Canis lupus familiaris: one gene and its partner. The protein of the gene in region 1 interacts with the protein of each later gene in a pairwise test. Links are inferred from orthologs where the notes say so. Each region holds a gene or a part of one and is shown on either strand. Other genes may lie near its edges.

The links.
Region 2: the proteins of MCM3AP (region 1) and MCM3 interact in a two-hybrid assay, tested with the Homo sapiens proteins (2 studies listed by BioGRID). The link is inferred for Canis lupus familiaris from reciprocal best matches to the Homo sapiens genes MCM3AP and MCM3.

The regions. Positions count from the first base shown.
Region 1 is NC_049252.1:39,531,313-39,535,135, forward strand, and holds part of MCM3AP (germinal-center associated nuclear protein), read right to left. Parts: intron 3,640-3,823; coding exon 3,449-3,639; intron 941-3,448; coding exon 801-940; intron 1-800.
Region 2 is NC_049233.1:20,185,167-20,188,989, reverse strand, and holds part of MCM3 (DNA replication licensing factor MCM3), read left to right. Parts: intron 1-9; coding exon 10-218; intron 219-665; coding exon 666-796; intron 797-2,971; coding exon 2,972-3,210; intron 3,211-3,676; coding exon 3,677-3,785; intron 3,786-3,823. UniProt on the Homo sapiens protein: Acts as a component of the MCM2-7 complex (MCM complex) which is the replicative helicase essential for 'once per cell cycle' DNA replication initiation and elongation in eukaryotic cells.

The DNA of each region.
Region 1 (3,823 bases):
GAGATTACTTAAAAATAAGATCCTTTAAAAAAAAACAAAACCTACCAACCAAGAGAGAAGGCATAAGCAAAATTAACAAAGAGGAAAAGGATCTAAAGTGGTACAGATTTCTCAGGAAACAATTTAGGAACACGCATAGGCACACACATCTTCAGGAATCTCAAGGAAGGTCACACCCTCTGATGTAGTAGTTTAATTCTTAGGATCTATCAGAAGGAAATAATCTATCTACTTCAGACTCACTACACATAATATGCCCAATAGGATTATTAATGAAATGTAAATATTAGAAATAGCCTATCTAGTGATTGCAAAATGGGAAGTTTTGATAGAGCTACATAATCAAACAATATACTTTCATTTAAAAGAGGCTGAGTTTATCAGAAAAGAAAATGTTCATAATTTTAAGTGAAAAGGATTCACACACAATTGCATCTAGAGAATAATCTCAACTGTCAAAACACAAACAGAAAAGGTAGGACTAAATTTGTGAAAAAAAGAAAAGAAACTTTTAATCTATGAAACAAATCTATATCTACATCTATACCTCAGAGCACCATGGGGTCAGTCACCTTACACAAGATTGTTTAGTACACACCTCACAGAACAATTTAGTATGAACATTCACGGTAGCCACACTCTAAATCCCTGCCACCCTCTACAAACGTAAACACCCAAATCAAGTATCAATATGTACAGAAAGTACAAAGAATACTACGTCCACCTGCCCCTATATATATCCCACCTCCACCCTGAAGATTAAATATGGACGGCAGCCTAGAGAGGTCAGGGGGCTTCACCTGGTCAGTCCCTGGGACCACTTCAAACACACTCAGCTGGCTCCGGGTCTCCCGCATGTACCGCTCCTTCTCAGGACACATATCTGGGCATGTCCCAACGAAAGTCCTCGCTTTGTCCAGGTCGGTTCTTTTCACTCGAGCTAAATGACAAGTAAAAATGTGTAACACAATTACTATGACGATAAAAGGAAAAATGAAAGCAAATGCCATACACAAAAGACGAAGTAAAGCACCAGTAGAGAAAGGGCAGTATGGCCTATAACGTCAGGTAGCAGGGCACCCAAAGGCCCCGTCCCCTCGCAACAGCCACAGGTCTGCACTGCATGCTGGCAGGGCGGCACGCATCGCTGTCCAAGGCTTTGTAGCAACTCAACAATGAACAACCGTGCTGCAGTGTGTTTGTTAAGATCAATTTGCTAATTGTAAATATTCCAAACACACTAGTGCTCTAAAAGTACTGCATTGGTTCTCTTTTATCCCATTACTACTATAACAGCAAACACCTTGGTCCTGATTAAACCACTGCCACTTCCCATAAAATTAAATAGTTACAAGTTATCTTTTAAGTGAGATGAAATACAACAACTTCAGGCTCAAAATACACACAGCTTATTTTTATTTTGGGAAATTTCAATACCCACTAATTTTATTTGGAATATAAAAATCACCATGTTGATATAATGTATGTATGATAACGTATGACAGTGATAACGTATGACAGCAGCTCTTACTACCATATTAAGGAAGCACTGTGATTATTCCACTTATTCACATATTCTAAAAGAAGAAAATCCTACAGCTAAAATATAATTTAAAAGAAACTTCGCAAAGAAAAGCACAAATACCTTTATTCATGGTCACTGCACACATTTTTTTAAAGGTAACAGAATATTTTTTGAAGAGGTAATATATTCAGATGGGTCATATTTGAAAGGTATAAAAATGTCAAAATAGAACCCCTCCCCACCTTGCTCCCCGCTCTGAGTCAACGTGAACATATCTTTTCATACCCCAGGACTATCGCATGTACCCGCAGGCAGGTACGCTCGTGTATGTACAGACACACGCTTCCCCCTTTATTTATATACGAACGGTGGCATACTACATACTTCCACACTATGATCTTCCACTTCACAATAAATCTTCATTTTTTTTCCATAAAGAAACCCCAGTCTTCTTTCAGACTGTTTAGAATCCTGCTACGTGGACAGTCAGTTCCCAATCTTTGTCGTCACAAACAAGCTTTTCTGTGAAACACACACGCAGGACCGCGTGTGGGACAGACACTGGATGAATGCTGGGTCAAAGGCAGACTTCCCTAAGGCTGAAAGATACCGCAGACCTGCCCTCTTCCAAAGGAGTGCAGCCGTCCACGGCCGGCCCAAGGACAGGGCAGCACGGCACAAGGGGGCAAAGGCCACCTCTGGGGTGTAACTGGCATCACTCTGTATGACGGGGTGAGCACCTTCCCATATGTTTAAAAGCCAATTCACGACACAGTTGACCCTTGAACACAGGTTTCAACTGCACAGGTCCCGTGGTACACAGATTTTTTTTTTTTTACAGCACTGTACATGTATTTTCATAACATTTTCTTCTCCCTAGCTTAATGTATTGCAGGAATGCAAGACGTGATACATATAACAAACAAAACACATGCTGTGTTATACGTGAGTCACCAGCAGGTTATTAGCAGTTAAGTTTTGGGGGAGTCAAAAGTTATATGTGGATTTTTGACTACAAGGGGGACGGTGTTCCTGCTCCTGCCTTTGTGTTGGTCAAGGGTCAAGTATACTTCCTTTTCTGTAACCCTGCTGACCCTCTAATCGTTTCTCAATTGGGCTGGTCTTTTCCACAGTAACTTCCACAGAACTTTCTATATTAGGGAAATCAGCCCTTTCTGAAAGGAATTACCAATTTTTACCCTGGGTTGCATTTCTTAAGTTTTATTTATGGAGATTTCTTTCAAACAGATTTGTTTAATATGTGCTTTCTGGGGGCGCCTGGGTGGCTCAGTGGTTGAGTGTCTGCCTTCAGCCCAGGGCGTGATCCTGGGGTCCCGGGATCGAGACCCACATCAGCCTCCTCACAGGGAGCCTGCTTCTCCCTCTGCTTGTGTCTCTCATGAATAACCAAATAAAAAAAAAAAAAAAATGTGCTTTCTGTCTAAAAATTACCCTTTAAAATGTTTAATTTTGGGATCCCTGGGTGGCACAGCAGTTTGGCGCCTGCCTTTGGCCCAGGGCGCAATCGTGGAGACCCGGGATCAAATCCCACATCGGGCTCCCAGTGCATGGAGCCTGCTTCTCCCTCTGCCTGTGTCTCTGCCTCTCTCTCTCTCTCTCTCTGTGTGTGACTATCATAAATTAAAAAAAAAAAAAAAAAAAAGTTTAATTTAGCACAGATCAATAGTTTATGGATTTTCTTCCAAATATAAAAAAAAGACATATCTGCATTATGTCCACATCTACACCCAGCCCCTTAGGAAACTAGTAAATAGCACATAATAGGCGGGGCACTGGAGGGCCCAGAGACTCAAGGACAGTGGACCCCACGGGCAGGGTTGCTCCCTCCTCACAGCTCCCGGAGTGACCTTATCATGACCTCAGCCAGGTTCCTGGACCACAGCTGAGATGTGCCCACCATACCTTGCCGCATGATCCTGTCCCTCTGGTCAAGCAGGCGGTATTTCTCCTCAGAAGTCTCAGCCACGGTACCTATCAGGGTGCTAAGGGATGATACACATGGCCCAAGACCTTCAGAGCCCTCAGAGCCCGAGTCAAAAGGGTCTCCTTCAAACTGATGGGTCTTTAGAAGACTTGGCTTCTTCACTGGAGAGCTACAAAGAAAAGTAACACATCAAGGGCTTGGCATCCGTCAGGTGCTTCCATCACTTCCACTTCTGAAGACGTTCTGCTCCTCCAAAACTGGAAAACTACAAGCACTGACTTGAGACAAGCCTTGACGATGCTAGTGAGCACAAAGGTGTTACTCCTGTCATTCACTACAGTCTTAAAATTTTG
Region 2 (3,823 bases), on another chromosome or scaffold:
GATGTGCAGCCTCCTGAGCAATGCCTTTGAGGAGCTGGTTGCCTTCCAGCGGGCTTTAAAGGATTTTGTGGCCTCCATTGATGCTACCTATGCCAAGCAGTATGAGGAGTTCTACATAGGATTGGAGGGCAGCTTTGGCTCCAAGCATGTCTCTCCTCGGACTCTTACCTCCTGCTTCCTCAGCTGTGTAGTCTGTGTGGAGGGCATTGTCACTAAGTGTGAGTGGCTTCAAGTGGGGCCAAGGGAACGGAGGTGGGATAGACTTAGAGGGCTGGGAAAGCAGGAAGATAGAGCTACTGAGTAGAGCTAGGTAGTGTAGGGCCTTAAACTGACAGAGGGGAGCTGGAAGCAGCTGTGAGCATATACAGTGATGAGGGGGTCCAGAATGGTGAATTCTGCTGAGCGTAGGGGAGTTTCGGCCCTTGGCAATCTCCTCATTCTTAACTCTGAACTATTATTTCTTGGTCAGGATTGGTTGTACTTGAGGTTTTATATAGAAATGTTGATGTTCTAAATATAAAAATGAATAAAACAAATATTATGGAAGTAGCTTAAACTAGTCAGAAGAACACAGTATTTAGAATCAAGATAGACTTGCCTGGGTCAAGTTCCACCTCTGTTGCTGTCTAGTTGCATGACTTTATATGCATGTGTTCCTTTGCTAGGCTCTCTAGTTCGTCCCAAAGTCGTCCGCAGTGTCCACTACTGCCCCGCTACCAAGAAGACTATAGAGCGACGTTATTCTGATCTCACCACCCTGGTGGCTTTTCCTTCCAGCTCTGTCTATCCCACTAAGGTGAGGGGAATGAATTACTTGGGGTTCTTGGGAAGTTGGAATCAAAGATGTCTGTTTTAATGCAAATAATTGATATCTGAAGTCTTCTAGAAGTAAATCAGATGAAAAGTAAGGATTAATCTAAAGGAAAGATTGATTGCTAGCTAGAGTTTAATATGGAAAGTCTTCAATTCTTTTTTTTTTTTTTTAAAGAGAATAAAGATTCACTTTAGAAAACCTGGCAAATTATAGAAGGATTGAAAAAAGACACTAATCTACATTGATCTTTTAGCAGGGTTATATATAACTTTATCATCTACCTAAAGTAATATGGGAGAGTGTTTATGCTATAATGTTACCATGAAATCTTTGCAGATATTTTACTTTGGGTTTGGGAGAAGAATGGCATTGGGAATGGCTTTTTACTTAAGTGTTCAGATTGGCCTGAACTGAGAACAATGGGAGGCTTTCTTAATGAGACAAGATGATTAATGTTGGATACTTATCTGAATTCATTCTATCAAAGAATACCTGTCCCTGCCGTCAAATTTTAATTGAGAGCCACTGTATCCAAATAATTGTTAAGCACTGTGGAGGATACAAATACGAATGAGACCCAGTTCTTATTTTCAACTCAATTGGTGCAGGAATCTTAACATAAAACAAAAATGAGTATCTTAGAATTATAACTAAAGCATACTTTAGAATCATTGAGTCTATCTGCAGGTGAAACGCTGAAATTCAGAGAGGTTAAGTGACTTGCACATGGTTCCAGTTAGTGATGACCCTAAGGGCTAGGATTCATGTCCTTTTACTTTCAGGCCATTTGCCTTTTTTAAGTCATCCTCTTTTTCATTAAGATCCCTCCTTCTAGAGTGTCTTCATAAGTACTCAGAGAGTACTCTTCTGATGATTACAGGGGCCAGGCTTCTTTGCTCAATACTTGAAATACGTTGGACTCCTGGAGGTCGTCTAGTGTGGTACTGAAGAATATGGCTTTGGAGTTAGACTTGTCTCGAGTTCTGGTTCTGCAATTTCCTATGTGACTTGGGGAACTTACTTAAACCTTGCCAGCTTCAGTTTCCTTATTTGTTAATGTGAAAAATATCTGCTTTACTGAGTAGTTGGGATGATTACATGAGATCATCTCATAAATAACAGCACAATGCCATCTACATAGTAAGCACTCAATAAGTGACAGCTGTTTTGTTTTTAGAAAATTCAAATAGCAAGCAAGTCAAAGTTTAAAATGTTTTTACTAAAGTTTAATATACATACAGGAAAGTTTATATAAGTATACACTAAATATATACCTATAAAATCAGCATCCAAACCAGGAAACAGTACCTTCCTAGCACTCAGATATTTGAGGACCCACACTCCCAAATGTTAACCCTATTCTGATATCTAGCAACATGGAGTACTTTTGCCTGCTTTTATATTTTATCTAAATACTCATATATTGGGCTTCCTTTGTTCATCAGATGTTTTTGAGATTCATCCATGCTGTTATAGGTGTATTTTATATCTTTTCATCACTGTATAGTATTTTTTTTTTGGTGGATATACCACATTTATTTAACCATTCTGTTGATGGCATTTGGATATTTTCTAATTTTTGGCTATTGGGAATAATATTGCTATGAACATTGTAGTATGTGGCTTTGGATAGATGTTTCTGTTGGGTATTACCTAGGAGTGGGAAATACTGTGCCATAGTATAGGGGGAACAGGAATCTTAATTTAGGTGTTAATAGAGCCATGGTTCCTTTAGGATATAGTTGTCCCTTCCATTAGATGATTTGTTACTATAACAGATGGGAATGGAAAAAAACTGGAGAAGACATTTGGCTTTTTTTGTTCCTAGATACTAAAATCTCCGGAGGTCATTTCCAAATTATATTTGCTTCCTATAAAAAATGAGTACGGGGATGCCTGGGTGGCTCAGCAGTTGAGCGCCTGCCTTCGGCCCAGGGAGTGATCCTGGAGTCCCTGGACTGAGTCCCACATCGGGCTCCCTGCCTCTCCCAGGCAGAGAGCCTGCTTCTCTCTCTGCCTCTCTCTGTCTCTCTCTCTGTCTCTCTCTGTCTCTCATGAATTAAAAAAAAAAAAAAAAATCTTTAAAAACAAAAAAGTGAGTATGGCATTTCTAAGACTGGGGTGAGATAATGATGCTTTTCTGTGTGTCTGTTTCAGGACGAGGAAAACAATCCCCTTGAGACCGAATATGGCCTTTCTGTCTACAAGGACCATCAGACCATCACCATCCAGGAGATGCCGGAGAAGGCCCCAGCAGGCCAACTTCCCCGCTCTGTGGATGTCATTCTGGATGATGACTTGGTAGATAAAGTGAAGCCTGGTGACCGAGTCCAGGTGGTGGGGACCTACCGTTGCCTTCCGGGAAAGAAGGGAGGCTACACCTCAGGGACCTTCAGGTAAAGGGGCAGTTGTGAGGTATTTGACATGCTGCTGGCAGCTTGCATTTCTGGTAGTATTCTTGCTCCAATTTTGCCATATTCTGGAGCATCACAACAGACAGGTGGAACAACCTTGCTGCATGGGAGATGGGATACCTCTTTTTCATCAGATAAAACTGGTAATAGTATCTTATGCTAAAAGTGGGAGTTACTGGTAACATGGTCATAGCCTCATGGCTTACCTGGGAGTTCACATATTCCCACCTCCGTCTCATCCACACTTCTGTCCGAAGATCTGTGTGGCAGCAGAGGATAAATTCCGAGGTGAAGAATTATCAGCATATTTGTGTCACAGACTAAGATTAGTCAGTTGCTGAATTCAGAACAATTTGTCTTTTTTCTTTATTGTTTTCCAAATTGCTATTGGCTCTGATGTTAGGATTTGAAAACTGCAGGCTTCCTCTTATTCCTATCTTTGTCCCAGGACTATCCTGATTGCCTGTAATGTGAAGCAAATGAGCAAGGACGTTCAGCCTTCATTCTCTGCTGAGGATATAGCCAAGATCAAGAAGTTCAGTAAAACTCGTTCCAAGGTCTGAGCATCTTTTAGGAATTTGAGGGTGGGGATGGA